Xenopus tropicalis: one gene and its partners. The protein of the gene in region 2 interacts with the protein of the main gene of each other region in a biochemical or structural test. Links are inferred from orthologs where the notes say so. Each region holds a gene or a part of one and is shown on either strand. Other genes may lie near its edges.

Region 1 (3,977 bases), on a different chromosome or scaffold from region 2:
TGCACAATAAGTGGGTTTCATACATTGGACATCCAGAGTAACATATAAAGCAATCAATAACCGATACAAGAGGTGAAGAGAGCCCTGCCCAAAAGAGCTTACAATCTACAAGGAGAAAGGGTTGAGACACAAGGTGTGGGAATGGGCATGACCAGAGTTGTGAGAGGTGTGGCACAGGGTATTGCTAAACTAGATTAGGGTACGCTTCTCTAAATAAATGTGTTTTTAGAGATCTCTTGAAGGCAGAGAGATTGGGAGAAAGTCTGACAGTTTGTGGGAGTGAATTCCAGAGAAGGGGGGCAGCCCTTGCAAAGTCTTGAATACGAGTGTGTGAGGAGGGAATTATTGCTTATTGGATTTACTGTGTTGAACTTTCTCCCAATAAGGCACACAATTTAGACTGATAATCATCTTGAAGGAAACATGTGCATGCAAAATTAACACATTTGCTAACAGCTGTCTTGTTAATCATGTTGTATACCAGAAAGTCAGACTCTCCGATGATCAATGCAGAGAATTTGAAAAATAAAAATTACTATGCATGCTAAGCTAATAGCAATATTTAAGAATATCAAAAATAATTAGATAACAATAAGAAACCTTTAGGTTTCAGCGGATAATTCATACCCAATGTCTAGCTTTACACAACTTTTCATTCACAATATAAGCTCAAATGCAAGTTGTATCTATTACTGACCTGTAGTTTGGGCCTTTTTGAAAGGTATGGCTTGATGCAGTTGTCACTGTGACTTTCACAAGGCTTTGTGTAAACAATACCATACATCACCCAGCATGTATGCACCACATATACGATAAAAACACCCACCACCAGGGTGGTGAAAGAGCTCCTGTTCAGCATTGCACAGACAGTACAGTACTACAGCAACGCAAATAGATATCCAGGTGTACAGAAAAACAAACCCTGCATAAAAGTAAGAACAAAACAATGGTATGATTTGATCATATTAACACCAATATCAAAATCGGTCGCTTCTTTCTATGTAATATTGCCACTATCCGGCCCTTTCCGCCGCCGTCAGTCACTTCCGGAACCTTCAGTCCAAACTTCCTGGTTTCGTGACGCTAATTCCGAAAGTGACGTCACCGGCCAGCAGCGAGTTACGCGCTAGCAGCGTTCTGCTACAGTTTCCCCTCTGCCAATGAACAGGTTGGTCGCGTCGTTTGGTGCCGCAGCATCTAGTCTGTTCAACTCGCGGTTGGAAGAGATCGGAGCAGCAGCGTTCTTTTGCTCGTCGCATCTTATTTACTTGCCCCGCCCCCCGCTGTTTAGCTGAGGTCTGATATTGTCTAACACTGATATGGGACTGATCTATCAATGCGCGCAGCGGGGGCCACAGGTCTGGGGGTCTACTCTTCCTTTTGGGGGATCCACTAGTGTGGGACTGTCATGGGCATTTATTTGATCAATGCGTGCATCATGGGTTGCAAGTCTGGGCTATTCTATTAGTATTTTAGCAGTGCCTAGTCTTCCGGTTCCTCTTAGCATTACAATAAATTAAGAGCATCACAGTTTATCTTAGTAAAACTGTAGCTATGGACACGACAACTGCAGAATTTCTAATATTGGTTTATAAATGTTTTATCACTTTTATTACTACAATAAGGGGTATATTTATCATGCTGTGTAAAAAGTGGTGATGTTGCTGATAGCAGTCAATCAGATGCTTTGCTTTGATTTTCTAACTGTTGAAATCTAATTGCTGATTGGTTGCCCTGGGCAACATCACTGGTAATGCTTCACTCCACTTTTTACACAGCATGATAAATATACTCCTAAGACTTTTTAAGCCACAACTGCAACAGGTCCGCTTTAGGAAAAGCCGAGTATGTTCATTTCTCGAAGTGAAATCCCAAGTACATGTACACTATTTCAGAACATATCGTTTTAGCTGGCTATTTGAACGTAATATATATTGTTCAGCTTCTACTAGTTAATTGCATGACTCTCCCAGCTAAATGTACAATGTGATAGCCTGGAAGCCAGCTAATCTAACTGGGAAGTTACACCACCTGTAATTTGTGTAATGTGACATGCACACACTTATCCTCTATATATATATATATATATATATATATATATATATATATATATATTTAATCCAAAGAAAGGCTGTATTGTTACCTTCACTAGTGCTTTGCAAATGGGCTCCAATAGTTCCTCAGACCAATCTGGTGACTTGTAAATAGCATTTGATTTTAATCAAGTTTCATAGTTGGTTTTACTTTTGTCTGATGTTATATGAATGCTCAGTGTGGGCTTAAGGGCTCTGGCACACGAGGAGATTTGTCGCCTGCGTTTTTTCCCCCTGGAGCTTTGGCGACAAGTCGCCACGACAATACCCACAAAGAGATTTCATGCGAGTTGAGCTCCAGGCGATTTGCTACCCATGGTACACTCAACAGTTAACCCCCCCTCATGTTTACTCAAGTCGCTCAGAGCCTTAGGGCTCTGGCACACAAGGAGATTTGTCGCCGGCGATTTTTAAAAGAGCGATTTGGCGACAAGAAATAAATCAATGGAAATCGCCAGCGTCAAAACATACAAGGTTACTTCAAATCACCTGCTGTTTCAAATCGCACACAGACCCTTTTCTGAGCGACTTGAGTAAACATGAGGGGGGGTTAACTGTTGAGTGTACCATGGGTAGCAGATCGCCTGGAGCTCAACTCGCATGAAATCTCTTCGTGGGTCCAGGAGGAAAAAACGCAGGCGACAAATCTCCTCGTGTGCCAGAGCCCTAAAGAGCAGAACACCAACACACAAATTGAGGCTTAAGCTTTACAATATATTAAAGATATATGCAACACAGTACATATAGAATAAGCAAATGTATACAGAGCCAAGAAGGATTTGTCCAAAATAGAAGCTGCAGGTATATAGTAGCAGTGCTATGGTGTCAGGTCACATTAAGCCCCATAAGATCTGTTTGTGCAGAAAAGCATTTTGGGTACAAAATCGCACCATGACACTGTATAGGGTATTCTCATCAGGAATATGTTCAGTTTGCAGACTAGTGTTCTTGTTCTTAACAATGCCCTAATAAAGATGCGATTTTACATTTCTTATACACATTAATGAGTTAAGTTTGTTGGAAGGGGGGGTGTTTATCTTGTATATTTCTATTTACTTTTCTGTTATGCAGTGCTGCAGAATATGTTGGCACTTTATAAATACATTATGTATTTATATACATTACTGTATATAAATTGGTATTTTGGTGGTTGTCGTCTGCCTTATAAGTAAGAGGGGCAAGGAGATGACCCCTAGTTAGAAAGTGCTCTTTAGGATGCCTGATTTTCACACTGGGTAGGTGAAATGACTGCATTCTAACAGACCCATGAGTATTGTTTATAAACATGGTAGACTGCATGTTCCCTGCCTTGGAGTTGCAAATGTTTCAGCACATAATAATTCTATTAGTATTCATAATTTGAAAATCACATAATAAAAAAAAATATGGTATTTAATATCTAGAAGCCACCCTCTGGTTTATTTGCAAACCAAGGGCAGGCTTACATGCTAAGTTACATTGCCCAATGAATTGGCAGAGCTGTATCTTTTACTCCCACACATCTTCCTGTTGTAGCTGGAATCTTCATTTTTTTAGATGTCAGGTGATCAGTGAGGGAGCACTAATGTGTAAATGCTAAGATTCTTTAGTGGGTCACTGATTGACATCTATTAGTTACGCACTTGTTCAGAGTGTGGTTCCAAACTTAAGGATGGATTGTGCACATGCAGTCTATGTAACATCAGTGCATGCTGCATATTTGATAGCTGCATTCTTTATAAGACTTTTCTTAATTTCACATTAATCTGGGAGGAGAGACCAGAACTAAGTGAGACAGGATCAGAGAATTAAAAATGATAAAAATAAGTAATTAAAGACAAAGGGGTCGAGAAGCACACATACAGGGAAGGAAGTAGCTGACTGAGGGGAATTTTCCATCAGGAC
Region 2 (3,515 bases):
CTAGTGCTTTCTACTATAAGGTTTTTTTTTCAATAATTACATTTTTTTTTATAATATTCGAGTTGAAGAACAAAAAAAAATTCCTAAAAGGTAAGTCGCTGCTTTACATAGGTGTTAATATTAATAATGTTTTCATAAATCAGTAACTAGTTATGAGCTAAAGGGGGGAGAAGACCTAACATTTCCTCTAAAGGGTGCCAGAAGCAAAACAGTCTGAAGGCCTCTTTTTTTCTACCAGATGTTAACAGACAAAACACTTCATCTGTGCCATTAGCCTCAGTTTACACCCACAACCTTTAAAGGAACAGTAGCATCAAAAAAATAAAGTGTTTTAAAGTAATTAAATTATAATGTGCTGCTGCTCTGCAAAAAAACTGGTGTTTTTGCTACAGAAAAGCTACTATATAAATAAGCTGCTGTATTGCCATGGGGGCAGCCATTCAAGCTGGAAAAAAGGAGAAAAGGCACATGATACATAGCAGAAAAACTAGTAGATAAGCCGCTTATAGTGAGGATTTATCTGTTATCTGCTAAGTAACCTGTGCCTTTTCTCCTTTGAATGGCTGCCCCCATGGCTACACAGCAGCTTACTTATATAAACTATAGTAGTCTTTCTGAGGCAAACACACCAGTTATAGAAATGCAGGACAGCAGTACATTATATTGTAATTACTTTTATACACTTTCATTTTTTGGTGTTACTGTTCCTTTAATACACTGGTAGGTTACTTGGCATGTAACAAAACTGACCCTAGTGCTGTGTCCGAGGTATGGAATTGTAAGGAAATGTTCTGAAAGGTCTGCAAAATGCCAGTGCAATTTACATAAAGGTAATATTAACCTTCACAGACTCTTTTTCCATCAAAACCACTACAGCTAAAGTTATTAAATAAAATAACATACCTTTGCCTTTTCTTTTGTAATCCGTGGCCACGATTGTCCAGACTCCCCTTTTCGTAAACAACATAAAACAGATCGGTCTGTTCTTTTATGTTTGGACTCCTAAAAAAAATCCAAAAAAAACAAATAAAGACTTGTCAATTTAAAGGAATACGGTCATGGCAAAAAGTGTTTTTTTCCAAAACACATCAGTAAATAGAACTTCTCCACCATAATAACCTGCACTGACCTTTATAAAATTGCAAGCAGATTTTTTAAATTTAATTTTGAAATTTCACATGGGCTAGCCATATTTTTCATTTCCCAGGGTGCCACAGCCACGTGACCTGTGCTCTAATAAACTTCAGTCACAATGGGAAGGTAGCAAGATAGCAGCTCCCAGTAGACATCAGAATAGCACTCAATAGTAAGAAATTCAAGTCTGGCTTGGGACTCCTCCAGTGACATGGGAGTAGGAGAAACAATAGGTTACCTGAAAGCAGTTCTAATGTGTAGCGCTGGCTTCTTCTGAAAGCTCAGACTCAGGCACAATGCACTGAGATGGCACCTACACACCAATATTACAGCTAAAAAAATACATTTGTTGGCTTAAGAATAAAATTTTAATTGGTAGAGTGAATTATTTGCTATGTAAACAGTGTAATTTAAAAATATAAAGTATACAGGTATGGGATCCCTTATCTGGAAACCCGCTATCCAGAAAGTTCTGAATTATGGAAAGGCCAAGTCCCATAGTCTCCAATATAAGCAAATAACTCTAATTTTTAAAAATGATTTCCGTTTTCTCTGTAATTATAAAACAGTACCTTGTACTTGATCCTATCTAAGATATAATTAATCCTTATTGGAGGCAAAGCAAGACTATTGGGTTTATTCAATATTTAAATTATTGTTGTAGGTTCTTCTCTGCAAACTAGGTGAAAAATGATCAGAGGAATGGCAAGAATCCATAATTCTTACAGCCCACCTGCATGCTCTTCTGCTTAGAGTAGACTTTTACACACACTAAGGGCTCTGGCACACGGGGAGATTAGTCGCCCGCGAAAAATCTCCCTGTTTGCGGGCGACCAATCTCCCCGAAAAGCCATCCCACCGGCAAAAATGAAAATCGCATACGCGGCGGCGCGATTTCAGTGATATCGTGGAAGTTTCCTCTCAAGGCAACTTCCGCGATTTCACTGAAATCGTGCCGTGTATGCCATCCCACCGGCGATTTAACTTTCAAAAATTGGCAAATGGAATGTAGATTACTCATGAGACCAGAATTTTACCAGATCTATAACTCTGAATGTTTGAGACAGGGATAAACGATGGCAGTCTTTCCACATCTAAATTTTAATATTTATAATATTAGTAATCTAAGTAATCTTAGTAATAGTAAGTTTTTTGTGACCAAAGTGACATGAAGTACTAAAGTGGAAATTGGCATATTCCTGTTTAGTAACAGAAATAACAGAAAACAAAAAGGCACAAAGTACGTTCAGCAGATGAAAAGGGCGTATAGTTTGACTGTCAGTCTTTCAAATAACAGGTTTTGATTTCTTACCTGTATCATTTATAATATTTTTAATCTACTTATGAACCTTTTAAGTCTCAAGATAATTGCAGAACAAAAATAGTACATTTAAAACACTATATATAAAGACCAAGAAAATGATCCTAGAACTGATTAACGCATGCTTTTAAGAAAAAAAAAACCCAGTATGTTAACTTACGTTGGGATCAATAGACTGGAAAAGTTCAACTTCATTTAAATATTTTACATTATCTGCTCCTCCAAGACAACTGTAAAAAGGAAATTAAAAAAAACAAAACTTAGTTTAAATCAGCAAAGCCAACATCTATTCCATGACCAGTAACCTAGAAACAGATGTTTAAAATCACAAAATTGAAAAAATATTTAGTGTAACAAACAAAAAAAAAACATTTATCACAGGATACTGAAGGTACGGAGTTTAATCCCAAAATGTACTGCAAAACACATTAAAAGATATAAAAGGTGGTCCCTTTTAGCCCAGTGTATATTAATTGGAATCTGGAGTAGCAGTCATCCTTAAAACATCTTAGGGTACTGATGCACAGGGAGATTTGTCGCCTGTAGTAAGTCTGCAATACTGTGGGCGAGAGGTTTCCTGAAAGTGCTTACCCCTAAGGTAGCTGCAAGTAAAACATTGTTTGTGGCAATCATCTCAATCATGGAAAAGTGCAAAAGATGATTGAAAAAACATTTAAACACCATAAAAACGGAACTTTGAAAACTACAAAATTTTGCACATAGGATATAACTTAGATATTGCCACCTCAGAACTGGTAAGTTTATGGGATAGAGAAATTCAGGTAATACATCATAAATAAAGAGAAAACAAGAAAATTCTTGGGGGGACAAAAATTCTCACTTAGCCTACAGCAAATAATCCCCTACATCTTACATATGCTTTACAAATCGACAATGACAATCGCTAAGCACCATTTAAAAGGATATAATTTACAAGATATTAATGGCTCTTGTGCATTTACATATGTTCCTCTAAGCACTTTTGCAATTTTCCACATTTATTGTTCTCTTACCTTTGGCAGTGTTAGACTGTGTATCCTTTTTGATAGTGTAAGTGATT
Region 3 (3,974 bases), on a different chromosome or scaffold from region 2:
AGCCTCACAAGGGCTGCACTTTGCCCCCGGCCCCCCAGCACCAATGAATCTGCAGATCTCTGTTTCCCAGCAGTAAGAACAGGGCCGGCCTGCACCCTATCTGCCCCACCAGCTCTATCTGCCCCCACCGGCACCTCTATCTGCCCCCACCGGCAGCGCTATCTGCCCCCACCGGCAGCGCTATCTGCCCCCACCGGCAGCGCTATCTGCCCCCACCGGCAGTGCCCTTCCCACTGCCCTGGGAATTAGTGAATAACCCCATAAATCTCCATTTGAACATATCATCTAGTTTAGGGGGTTACTGCCCCTACAGGGATTACTTGGGGGCACTTAAGCTTCCAGTCCTCCAGGTAGATATGAGCCCTTATAAAATGCCCCTGGCCAATCAGCACGCTGCCTTGATATGGGAGGAGGTAGAGCAGTTTGCAGCAGGAATCATTATAAAAACAAGTGCAGAGAGCAATTTGGACCCAAATTAGATGTTTTCACCCCACACTGCAGCCCCCAGCGCCAGAGGGGCACTTGCGCCCCCATTCATCAGCAGAGGCAGGGGGGGGGGCCCACGGGGGAGTGAGGGAACGTTTGTAAATGACCCCTTGAGTTTCACCAATTTTAGGCGCATGAAATGTTATAATGACTTATACAGAGTGCAGGGCCCATCCCTATAAATACAATACAGGGCAGGCAGTGCCATGGGGCCCAAGGTGCCCACACATGGGGCAGATTCCAGTTGCCAATTTGGGTCCTTCAGACTGATTGGGCACCTGATCTGCCGCTGTATGGGCACAGGCCTCCCCGACCAACATCTGGCCAAATCTCAATTGGGCAAATCCACTTGTTTGGTGATCTCGTTAAAGAAAGAAGCCAGGAAGTGATTGGCTCATACAGGGGGAAGTGACTTGAAACAAAGAGATGAGTGTGTCACACACACGGGGGGGGGGGCAAACACAAGCACACAGGGGGGGACACAACAGACACACACACACGGGGGGGACACATACAGACACAACACGCACACACGGGGGGGAACACCAGACACACACACACAGACGGGGGGGACGGAGCAGAAGCACACACCACCACAAGGGGGGGGACACAGACAACACCACACAACACGGGGGGGGGGGGCACACAGACAACACACACACGGGGGGGGGGACACACACAGACACACAGACGGGGGAACACACAACACACACATTACACACGGGGGGGACGAACAGAAACACACTGTCCACACGGGGGGGGGACACAGAACACACACACGACGGGGGGGGACACAGACACAACACACAGGACGGGGGGGACACAGACACACCACATACAGACGGGGGGGACAGCAGACACACACACACACGGGGGGGGACAGGACAGACACACACACACAGCGGGGGGGACACAGACACACACACACACAGGGGGGGACACACAGACACACACACACACAGACGGGGGGGGACACAGACACACACACACATACCAGGGGGGGTCACACACGGGGACACACACAGGGGGGGGTCACACACCAGGGGACCACACAGGGGGGGGGGGGCAACACACACACGGGGGGGTCACACCACACAGGGGGGGTCACACACACAGGGGGGGTCACACACAGGGGACACACACAGGGGGGGGTCACACACACACAGGGGGGGGGTCACACACACAGGGGGGGTCACACACACACACACACACAGGGGACACACTAACAAGTAGTTGTATGGAACAGACTGTGGGTGCAGGGAAGCTACGTCAGGGGCACAAGAGCGGGAAAGTTCCATTTACTTTTACTTTCATTTCTCAGCCCCAGCACTCCCAGCGCTCCCAGCCCACCCAGTGCTCCCAGTGCAGGATAAAAGTACCCACAGTGTCGCTGTCACATTGTAACAAACAGGAGAAATACGGCCCCCGTCTGTGTCACTCAATAGGGGGGCTGCTGAGCAACTGACACTTAGCCTGTAGTGGCAAGTAACCCGGGGACCCCCAGCAATTATACAGTAACCCCCCCACAATGGTACAGTAACCCTCCCACAATGGTACAGTAACCCTCCCACAATGGTACAGTAACCCACACTAACCCCCAGCAATAGCTACAAAACCCCCCCAGTAGTGATACAATAACCCCCAGTAGTGATACAATAACCCCCAGCAGTGATACAATAACCCCCAGCAGTGATACAATAACCCCCAGCAGTGATACAATAACTCCCAGCAGTGATACAATAACTCCCAGCAGTGATACAATAACCCCCAGTAGTGAATTACAATAGCACCAGTGAGTGGATACAATAACCCCCAGCAGTGATACAATAACCCCCAGTAGTGATACAATAACCCCCAGTAGTGATACAATAACCCCCAGCAGTGATACAATAACTCCCAGCAGTGATACAATAACCCCCAGTAGTGATACAATAACCCCCAGTAGTGATACAATAACCCCCAGTAGTGATACAATAACCCCCAGTAGTGATACAATAACTCCCAGCAGTGATATACCCCAGCAGTGATACAAAACCCCAGCAGTGATAACATACATAACCCCCAGCAGTGATACAATAACTCCCAGCAGTGATACAATAACCCCCAGTAGTGATACAATAACTCCCAGCAGTGATACAATAACCCCCAGTAGTGATACAATAACCACCAGCAATAGCACAAACCCCCCCAGTAGTGACACCGTAACCCCCCTGCAATGGTACAATGTATCCAGTTACCCCTGCAAGTTGCCCCCATTAGAACGGTTATAGAGTTACCATTTGCTGAATCTGATTGTTTTCTGCCCCCAAACTGCCGCCTGTGGGGCCCCTGCCGTGCCGCTCGCTCCCCTCCCCTTTAAGGAAATAGGGAAATGCTCAGACCTCCCCCCCCCCCAGGCTGTGGGATTTAACCAGCTTTATTGTTAACCACTGGGTGTAACAAACCCTCAACTAGTAGTGAAACAGAGTCACTATATCTCTCTTACTCTCTCTCACTATCTCTCTTACTCCCAGGAGCAAATATATATATATATCTACGTTACATACATACCCCTACAGGGAGAGAGACCCCCAAACAAATATTAATTGGTTTAATTCATATAAAGGACAGGTATATTATACTATATATACACGTAATAGGAGATATTATCTATTTATACACATTACCAACCATGTCCTGATGTTTAAAAACTATTTGGAACTTGTTGTATACATTGTGTGTATATAAATAAAGGATAATGTACCCCCTACTGTAAATGATAAGGATATTAGCAGTCACTGAGGGGTTCTGTGCCCCCCATATAAAGGCACAAGGCTGCAGGCTGAGTTATACAGGGAACTCTGAGTATCACTCATGTATTATAAGGGATAATGTACCCCCTACTGTAAATGATAAGGATATTAGCAGTCACTGAGGGGTTCTGTCCCCCCATATAAAGGCAAGGCTGCCCGGCTGAGTTATACAGGGAACTCTGAGTATCACTCATGTATTATAAGGGATAATGTACCCCCTACTGTAAATGATAAGGATATTAGCAGTCACTGAGGGGTTCTGTGCCCATATAAAGGCACAAGGCTGTAGGCTGAGTTACTATTGCACACAGGGATTCCCCTGTACTAAGCACAATTCAGCAGGAACAGCCCCCTAAGTTTGCTCATAGCCTGTACAGAGAAATACCATAAAACTATGGCACATAGGGATTCCCTGTACTAAGCACAATTCAGCAGGAACAGCCCCTTAAGTTTGCCCATAGCCTGTACAGAGAGATACCATAAAACTATGGCACCTAGGGATTCCCCTGTACTAAAGCACAATTCAGCAAGAACAGCCCCCTAAGTTTGCTCATAGCCTGTACAGAGGAAATACCATAAAACTATGGCACATGGGGATTCCCCTGTACTAAGCACAATTCAGCAGGAACAGCCCCCTAAGTTTGCCCATAGCCTGTACAGAGAGATACCATAAAACTATGGCACATAGGGATTCCC
Region 4 (3,515 bases), on a different chromosome or scaffold from region 2:
CCACAATAGTCTCCTCCCACCTCCCTGCAGCACCAGTCTGTCCCACAATAGTCTCCTCCCACCTCCCTGCAGCGCCAGTTTGTCCCACAATAGTCTCCTCCCACCTCCCTGCAGCACCAGTTTGTCCCACAATAGTCTCCTCCCACCTCCCTGCAGCACCAGTCTGTCCCACAATAGTCTCCTCCCACCTCCCTGCAGCGCCAGTTTGTCCCACAATAGTCTCCTCCCACCTCCCTGCAGCACCAGTTTGTCCCACAATAGTCTCCTCCCATCTCCCTGCAGCACCAGTTTGTCCCACAATAGTCTCCTCCCACCTCCCTGCAGCACCAGTTTGTCCCACAATAGTCTCCTCCCATCTCCCTGCAGCACCAGTCTGTCTCACAATAGTCTCCTCCCACCTCCCTGCAGCACCAGTTTGTCCCACAATAGTCTCCTCCCATCTCCCTGCAGCGCCAGTCTGTCCCACAATAGTCTCCTCCCACCTCCCTGCAGCGCCAGTTTGTCCCACAATAGTCTCCTCCCACCTCCCTGCTGCACCAGTTTGTCCCACAATAGTCTCCTCCCACCTCCCTGCAGCACCAGTTTGTCCCACAATAGTCTCCTCCCATCTCCCTGTTTTGCCATGTACTAAGTCTTTTAATTTTCTAAATAAAAGTCGATATTTAAAGGATTCCCAGTGTGCATCGGTACATCTATGGACTCTGTTGAAATTGCTTAAATCGGTAGCACCTGGGTTAGCTGGATTTGCTAAGGAGTGCTGAACCATCGTGGTCTGTATATATATATATATAATTTATTATGGTTACTGTGACACCATAGGCTCCGGTGCTGACTTACCTTATTGACAACTTTCTGCTGCTGATTGTGCTTCTGCCGCAGGCTCGCTACCTCCCTCCACAGGGCCTCATTCTCACTGCAGGGCAGGCACAGTGTTAAAAAGCATGATGATTAGCCCGCCCTCACTCCCAGGCCACACCCTCACCCCCAGGCCCCTCCCTCAGATAGATGTACACCCACACTCCCTCAGAGACAGCAGCCCTGAGTGACAGTTGATTACTAAAGGAAGGAATCCACGGTACCTGCCCCTGGGTGGCCCGTTAGTGCCCCATTTGCCCCCCGGGCAAACTCACTGTTTCATGGAGAGGAGGCGGCAGTCGATGGTCTCCTGTTTGCCTTTCATGCTCTGTACGTCCGTTAGCAATTTGCTGACACTGTCCTGACGCCCCTTCACCTCCTCGCTCTTGGTGGCAGACAGCTGCTTAGGGAGAGAGAGAGAGGTCTCGGGGGTCACAGCCGGGCACTCTCACACCTTCCTTACCCCCCACTCCCAACATTACCCCCCCCGTGCCTCTCCTCTTACCTTACTCCCAGTAGTAACAGCACCGGCAGTTGCACTAACTCTTTGATTTCTGAAGGAAACACCGTTACTCCCCAATTCTACTGAGTATCGATACTTCCAGCAGCACTGAAACTATTACTCTGCACCCAAAGTTACCCATATACCCACGGGTATTACTGTACCCTCAAAAGTACCAACACAGCTGCCTGTTACTCTGCTGCTGAGAGCATTACTATTTCTAGTACTCTGAGTATTTCCTAGTAACCCGATTACTCCACTGCCCCATGAGTACTGTATTACTGAACTGTACCCAGGGGGGCAGGGGTAGGGGGGTAGGGGTATTCGCCCCTCACTCACTTGCCTTGGTACTCACGGTGTTGACTTTGCGCTTGATGTTCTCCAGAAGTTGCTCCTGACCCCGGATGAAATAGGGGTGCTGGAACTCTGTGTCATCTCTTTCAGGTTTGACCAAGCCCCCCTGTTCAATATGGACGACCTTCCGAAACCCATCTGAGAGAGAGCAGAACATCCTATGGGTAACAACTACTACTCAGAGAGAGCAGAACATCCTATGGGTAACAACTACTACTCAGAGAGAGAGCAGAACATCCTATGGGTAACAACTACTACTCAGAGAGAGAGCAGAACATCCTATGGGTAACTACTACTACTCAGAGAGAGCAGAACATCCTATGGGTAACTACTACTACTCAGAGAGAGAGCAGAACATCCTATGGGTAACTACTACTACTCAGAGAGAGCAGAACATCCTACGGGTAACTACTACTACTCAGAGAGAGCAGAACATCCTACGGGTAACTACTACTACTCAGAGAGAGAGCAGAACATCCTATGGGTAACTACTACTACTCAGAGAGAGAGCAGAACATCCTATGGGTAACTACTACTACTCAGAGAGAGCAGAACATCCTACGGATAACAACTACTTCTCTGTGAGAGAGCAGAATATCCTATGGGTAACTACTACTACTCTGAGAGAGCAGAATATCCTATGGGTAACTACTACTACTCTGAGAGAGAGCAGAACATCCTATGGGTATCAGAATCCAGCTCGTACATAGATAAATAACAAATACATAGTGGGAGGAATATCCTGGGCCCAAGAGCTTCAGCACCAGCTACCAATCAGTGCAGAGGGAATCCAGACAGCCCCATACCTGGAAAGGCCACAGAGACAGCCCCCATCACATCCCAGACTTCACTCCCATAGAAAAAGAGAGGAAAATCCTCATCCTACTGGGGGAAGAGACAGTAACAATGGCTGCTCAATATGTAACAGAGCGATGGGGCGGGGAGGGGAGAGAGACTTACACATCCTGATGTAAGAGAGACTTACACATGTTGATGTGAGAGACAGAGAGACATGCTGATGTGAGATGGAGAGACATGCTGATGTGAGAGAGACTTACACATGTTGATGTGAGACAGAGAGACATGCTGATGTGAGAGAGACTTACACATGTTGATGTGAGTCGGAGAGACATGCTGATGTGAGAGAGACTTACACATGTTGATGTGAGAGACAGAGAGACATGCTGATGTGAGAGAGACTTACACATGTTGATGTGAGAGACAGAGAGACATGCTGATGTGAGAGAGACTAACACATGTTGATGTGAGAGACAAAGACATGCTGATGTGAGAGACATGCTGATGCGAGAGAGACTTACACATGTTGATGTGAGAGACAGAGAGACATGATGTGAGAGAGACTTACACATGCTGATGTGAGAGGGACTTACACATGCTGATGTGAGAGACAGAGAGACATGCTGATGTGAGAGACTTACACATGTTGAGCTGTCGGACAAAGCTGGCCATGTTGTTGTGCTTGAAATACTTTGGGAGAACCTCTTTGGCAAACTGCCCCTGGTCAAACACATGGAAACTGTTCCCTTCCTGGGGGAGAGAGGAGAGGAATGGTTAGAGAGTCAATACCAAGGCAGGTTAGAGAGTCAATACCAAGGCAGGTTAGAGAGTCAGTAACAAGGCCGGTAAGCGAGTCAGTAACAAGGCCGGTAAGAGAGTCAGTAACAAGGCCGGTAAGAGAGTCAGTAACAAGGCCGGTAAGAGAGTCAGTAACAAGGCCGGTAAGAGAGTCAGTAACAAGGCCGGTAAGAGAGTCAGTAACAAGGCCGGTAAGAGAGTCAGTAAC
Region 5 (4,162 bases), on a different chromosome or scaffold from region 2:
GATCCCTTATCCGGAAATCCATTATCCAGAAAGTTCCGAATTACAGAAAGACCATCTCCCATAGACTCAATTATATGCAAATAACTCTAAGTTTTAAAAATGATTTCCTTTTTCTTTGTAATTATAAAACAGTACCTTGTACTTAATCCCAACTAAGATATAATTAATCCTTATTGGATTAATTATATAGCAGACTTAAGGTATGAAGATCCAAATTATGGAAAGATCCCTTATGCGGAAAACCCCAGGTCCAGAGCATTCTGGATAACAGGTCCCATACCTGTACAAGGATCTCAGTCCACACACCACTGGCTTTTTTGCAAAATTGTTACTTGGTTTTTAATATAAACTTTATCAAGATAATTCATCAGACTGATATAACCTGCAGCTCTCTAATTACAATAACATGATATATGAAATGATTATTGGAAAGGGTTGCTCAACAAATGCTGAGAAGCAAAGGAAGGGGGGTCTATCTATATGAATCCCTTACTGGGAAGCACCTTCATGGATGTTAAAATAACACATATAAATAAACATCAGTAAAATGCCCATTTGTTTTCTACTATTATGCCTAACACCCTGACTGCTACCTACACTTTCACCTCAGTAGTCTTACAAGGCTCCTGCCCTCATGTTTAGCTCATTTATTCCTTCTCCACATCCCTAGATCAGTGCTGACAAAACTAGTGACTCTTCAGCTGTTTGCAACAACAGTTCACATGAACATCTGAGAATGTTAGCAGCTGTACTTTATATCAGAGCAAAGGCCCAATTTTTAACACTTCTGATCTCCTAAATCCTGACGGTTTCAGTGTGTGTGTGTATTTATATACATTTTATATAAGCTTTACATTTAAAGTACTTATCACTGACTTCAAGTGACTTCCCACTTATAAAATATTCCTCCTATATGTCCCCTGTAATAAAGCTTTGAAGTTGAAGAAGAAGCTCACTAAGGCTAGATTAATAAAAGCTCCAGGCTGCCAAATGTAAATCGGTCATTGGACTGGGTTAAGTTTACCAATGTTGAAAAACAAGTTGCCCAAGGGAAAGGGCATGTGGTAATAACCAGAGATATAGCTAGATAGATAGAGCTCAGTGATGTCAAATATAAGGATAATAGGAATACACTAAATACACTATATATAAGTTATACATAGTTAGAACAGATACAGGTACTCACCACACTCCAAATAAGTTCTGGGTGCTTCCCAAACAAGTCAAATATCTCCACGAACTGGAAGCACACACGGAGAAAAAAGAAGGGTTTATTGATGATTCACATCATTCACCACATCGGTGCGTTTTGGTTCGCCACAGCGGTTCAAAGAGAAATGAAACATGTTGATGTTTATACACAAACACACAAGCCTCCACAAGCTAATGATGATACTTATTACATGAATCATGTCACGGTCAGTGAAAATAATCTTATCTACTTTATCAACAATTTGTTTGCCTTGCACAGGTACATGTGTAAACTTGTAACTTCAATATCAGAAATAACAAACTTGCATTCTTAAAGGGACACTATACATTGAAATATACAGGCACTGGGCTGAGATGCCCACTCTGTGGTGGAGAGGACACAGATCATATACTGTACCTAGATATGAAGGGAGTTATTTTATATATATTATATCTTTATCTTATACAATAAAACTGACTGGATAATAAAAATTAGGACAGAAAACATAGCACTCAATCTATATCTTTTACCTTCCTAGTACAAGAAGTAGACTGTCCCTCTACCACAGTGTATTATAGGATTATGATCTAAATGAAAAATGTGTGCTTCAGGATACTTAGGGAATAATGTACCCCATGCCAGCCATTAGTGAGTTACATTATTACATGTACAAGTCCCTTGTGGGCTGTGCAGATTTTTCACGAGGCTTGTACAGTGCTCATAGTGACAGAATAATACATGTATCAAAAACACGAAAAAAACATTCTATTCTATGTTCTGTACTTATTAGTAAATGGTTTCCTCTAAGTTCCATGGACTGTTAAAAAGCACCTGTACTCAACACCCTGGTCTACTTGTGTTTCATACCATGGCCAACATACACAAATGTACACGAGTGTATGATTTTATAATTACTTATTAGAACACGTGCCTAGATGCTAGTGAAATGTGCACATATGGACAAAGGGCACAGCTGCACCAAAGCATGTAACTATAATTCCTGCCATAAAGCAAGACAGGACTGCTGTGGTATGGCAGGAAAAACAGACAATAAAATAACTACCAGGAAACATTCTGATATGGAAACACAAAATCAAACATTTTCAAATTTTACATGCTGCTTTCAGAAAGAAATAAACAACAATTTACTATTTTAAGGAAGTGCTTGCAGAAAATATATGCTCATAGGAAGTTGGTTTTTTTTTTAATAATTTACCTTACACGAATTAGAACAACGGGAGCTGATAGAGGTGCCTTACAGGAAACTACAGGCTGCCTGTACATAAGAATGAACTTATAAAAGCTAGTTAGCACACACTAGCCTGGGTACTCAGTGCCAATGTGTTCAAAAGTCTGGTACAAAGAATATTTAAAGCAGAAAAGAACACATTATAAAGGTGTATGCCACGTACATAGAGAATGTAGCGCCTCTTGTCATTACAGCACATCCGACATAACTTGTTTTCCTACCCGGCGGGCATATAAATACATTATGTATGTGTGTATATAAAAATACCGCACTAGGATTGTGCACACTTACCCAGAGACAAGGCGGCTATAGCGGAGAGTACAGTACAGGCTGCTCCGTTCCTTCCTTGCTGCTTTTGTGTCTGGCGTGTTTTTCCAAGACAGCAACAACACAAGCGCTGACCTCACACAAAATAGTAAGGGAGGGGGGTTTAATCCAGAGAGACAGCCTGATTGGTCGAGCGCTCGCCTATCCCAAGCTATCTCAGGGGAACCTGTAAACGAACAATACGGAAACGTTCCGACCAATGGGCTGGGCCTTAAACGGAGCAACTGGTGACGTAACGCCATTCTGCCAATCAGAAGCGGAATGCTGGCGAAGTTACCTCTATATCTCCATGGCAGGGATATTCCTGCTGGGTCTCCAGCTCTTACATAGTTAATGAACTAGTGCAGCTATTAGGAGTTCGTGACTGGAGGCTGAAGACAAACGATAGACGAATTCTCTGGGAATGCAGTTTCTGCATGATATAGCTCCCAGCCTTTACCTTGCAGCAGTAGAGGCGGAGTAATAATATGTTTGGGAATGGGCGGGAAATTTGTATATTGCAGCGGGAGCTGATGTGCGCATTGTTTGGAGATATGAGAAGGAAAAGGTCGGGTGACGTATATGTTGCACGTTATAGTTATATTCATTAGTTATAATTAGTTATAATGAGGAGGTTAAGTATGAAAGCAAATCCTACTCTGTAGTATTCTCCTGTCAATGGGCACAGGGGGTGGATTTTTTTTCTCAATAATACAAACTTGAATGGTATTGGGGCTTTTTTAATAGAAATTTTATTTCTATTTATTTGACATTTTTATTGAAAAGGAATGAGGTGTAAAATATGTGGAACTGGATCCTTATATCACCTTGGGGCCATGGGATTAGTTGGAACTTCTGGAAAAACATGATGGGTTGAGAAATTCATCAATAAATCATGAATCTACACAACTGTAAAGAAAAAAAATACATTTCATTACAGTAGCAACAGCTCCCCTTTAATAGAAGAAAACAATATCTTAAATGTAAAAAACAATGAATAGGTGCACTACTCAATCAGGTATTGTATGGAACCATAATTATAGTATTTCCCTATCAGTATAGGCTCATATAGTGAAAAATGTACCCCTATTGTAAAATATAAGGCTATTATAAGTCACTGGGGAGTTCCACTACAATATAGAAGCACAAGGTTGAAAGCTGGGTGCTTTTACATTGGAAGAGGAAATACAAGACCCAAGAAATTTGTAATGTGACCATCAAGCAGGATAACTTGAATATAATTAGGCAGGAAAAAAGATAGTTTGTACTCAATAAAGTAGGCAAGAAGTCCAGGCACGCTGCCTGGGACCAACGATGAGAACTGATAAATTGCTGTCAGATTAAATAAAGTGGGACAGAAAGTTACAATAAGTAAAAAAAGAAATGGTTATGTAGAGCTATTTCAACTAATTAAA

The links.
Region 1: the proteins of ptges3 (region 2) and tert form a complex in vitro, tested with the Homo sapiens proteins (2 studies listed by BioGRID). The link is inferred for Xenopus tropicalis from reciprocal best matches to the Homo sapiens genes PTGES3 and TERT.
Region 3: of the proteins of ptges3 (region 2) and casp7, one has a biochemical effect on the other in vitro, tested with the Homo sapiens proteins (2 studies listed by BioGRID and IntAct). The link is inferred for Xenopus tropicalis from reciprocal best matches to the Homo sapiens genes PTGES3 and CASP7.
Region 4: the proteins of ptges3 (region 2) and hsf1 form a complex in vitro, tested with the Homo sapiens proteins (2 studies listed by BioGRID). The link is inferred for Xenopus tropicalis from reciprocal best matches to the Homo sapiens genes PTGES3 and HSF1.
Region 5: of the proteins of ptges3 (region 2) and casp3.2, one has a biochemical effect on the other in vitro, tested with the Homo sapiens proteins (2 studies listed by BioGRID and IntAct). The link is inferred for Xenopus tropicalis from reciprocal best matches to the Homo sapiens genes PTGES3 and CASP3.

The regions. Positions count from the first base shown.
Region 1 is NC_030682.2:58,825,098-58,829,074, reverse strand, and holds the start of tert (telomerase reverse transcriptase), read left to right. Parts: upstream 1-1,174; 5' UTR 1,175-1,319; coding exon 1,320-1,358; intron 1,359-3,977. Other genes in the region: clptm1l (cleft lip and palate transmembrane protein 1-like protein), read right to left, coding at 698-859. UniProt on the Homo sapiens protein: Telomerase is a ribonucleoprotein enzyme essential for the replication of chromosome termini in most eukaryotes. Active in progenitor and cancer cells. Inactive, or very low activity, in normal somatic cells.
Region 2 is NC_030678.2:138,777,670-138,781,184, forward strand, and holds part of ptges3 (prostaglandin E synthase 3), read right to left. Parts: intron 2,686-3,515; coding exon 2,616-2,685; intron 1,003-2,615; coding exon 904-1,002; intron 1-903. UniProt on the Homo sapiens protein: Cytosolic prostaglandin synthase that catalyzes the oxidoreduction of prostaglandin endoperoxide H2 (PGH2) to prostaglandin E2 (PGE2).
Region 3 is NC_030683.2:3,670,168-3,674,141, reverse strand, and holds the start of casp7 (caspase-7), read right to left. Parts: upstream 2,803-3,974; 5' UTR 2,766-2,802; coding exon of another isoform or gene 2,763-2,765; intron 1-2,762. UniProt on the Homo sapiens protein: Thiol protease involved in different programmed cell death processes, such as apoptosis, pyroptosis or granzyme-mediated programmed cell death, by proteolytically cleaving target proteins.
Region 4 is NC_030682.2:152,310,952-152,314,466, forward strand, and holds part of hsf1 (heat shock factor protein 1), read right to left. Parts: intron 3,260-3,515; coding exon 3,151-3,259; intron 1,850-3,150; coding exon 1,701-1,849; intron 1,256-1,700; coding exon 1,131-1,255; intron 914-1,130; coding exon 838-913; intron 1-837. UniProt on the Homo sapiens protein: Functions as a stress-inducible and DNA-binding transcription factor that plays a central role in the transcriptional activation of the heat shock response (HSR), leading to the expression of a large class of molecular chaperones, heat shock proteins (HSPs), that protect cells from cellular insult damage.
Region 5 is NC_030677.2:44,843,790-44,847,951, reverse strand, and holds the start of casp3.2 (caspase-3), read right to left. Parts: upstream 2,814-4,162; 5' UTR 2,733-2,813; intron 1,241-2,732; 5' UTR 1,187-1,240; intron 1-1,186. UniProt on the Homo sapiens protein: Thiol protease that acts as a major effector caspase involved in the execution phase of apoptosis. Following cleavage and activation by initiator caspases (CASP8, CASP9 and/or CASP10), mediates execution of apoptosis by catalyzing cleavage of many proteins.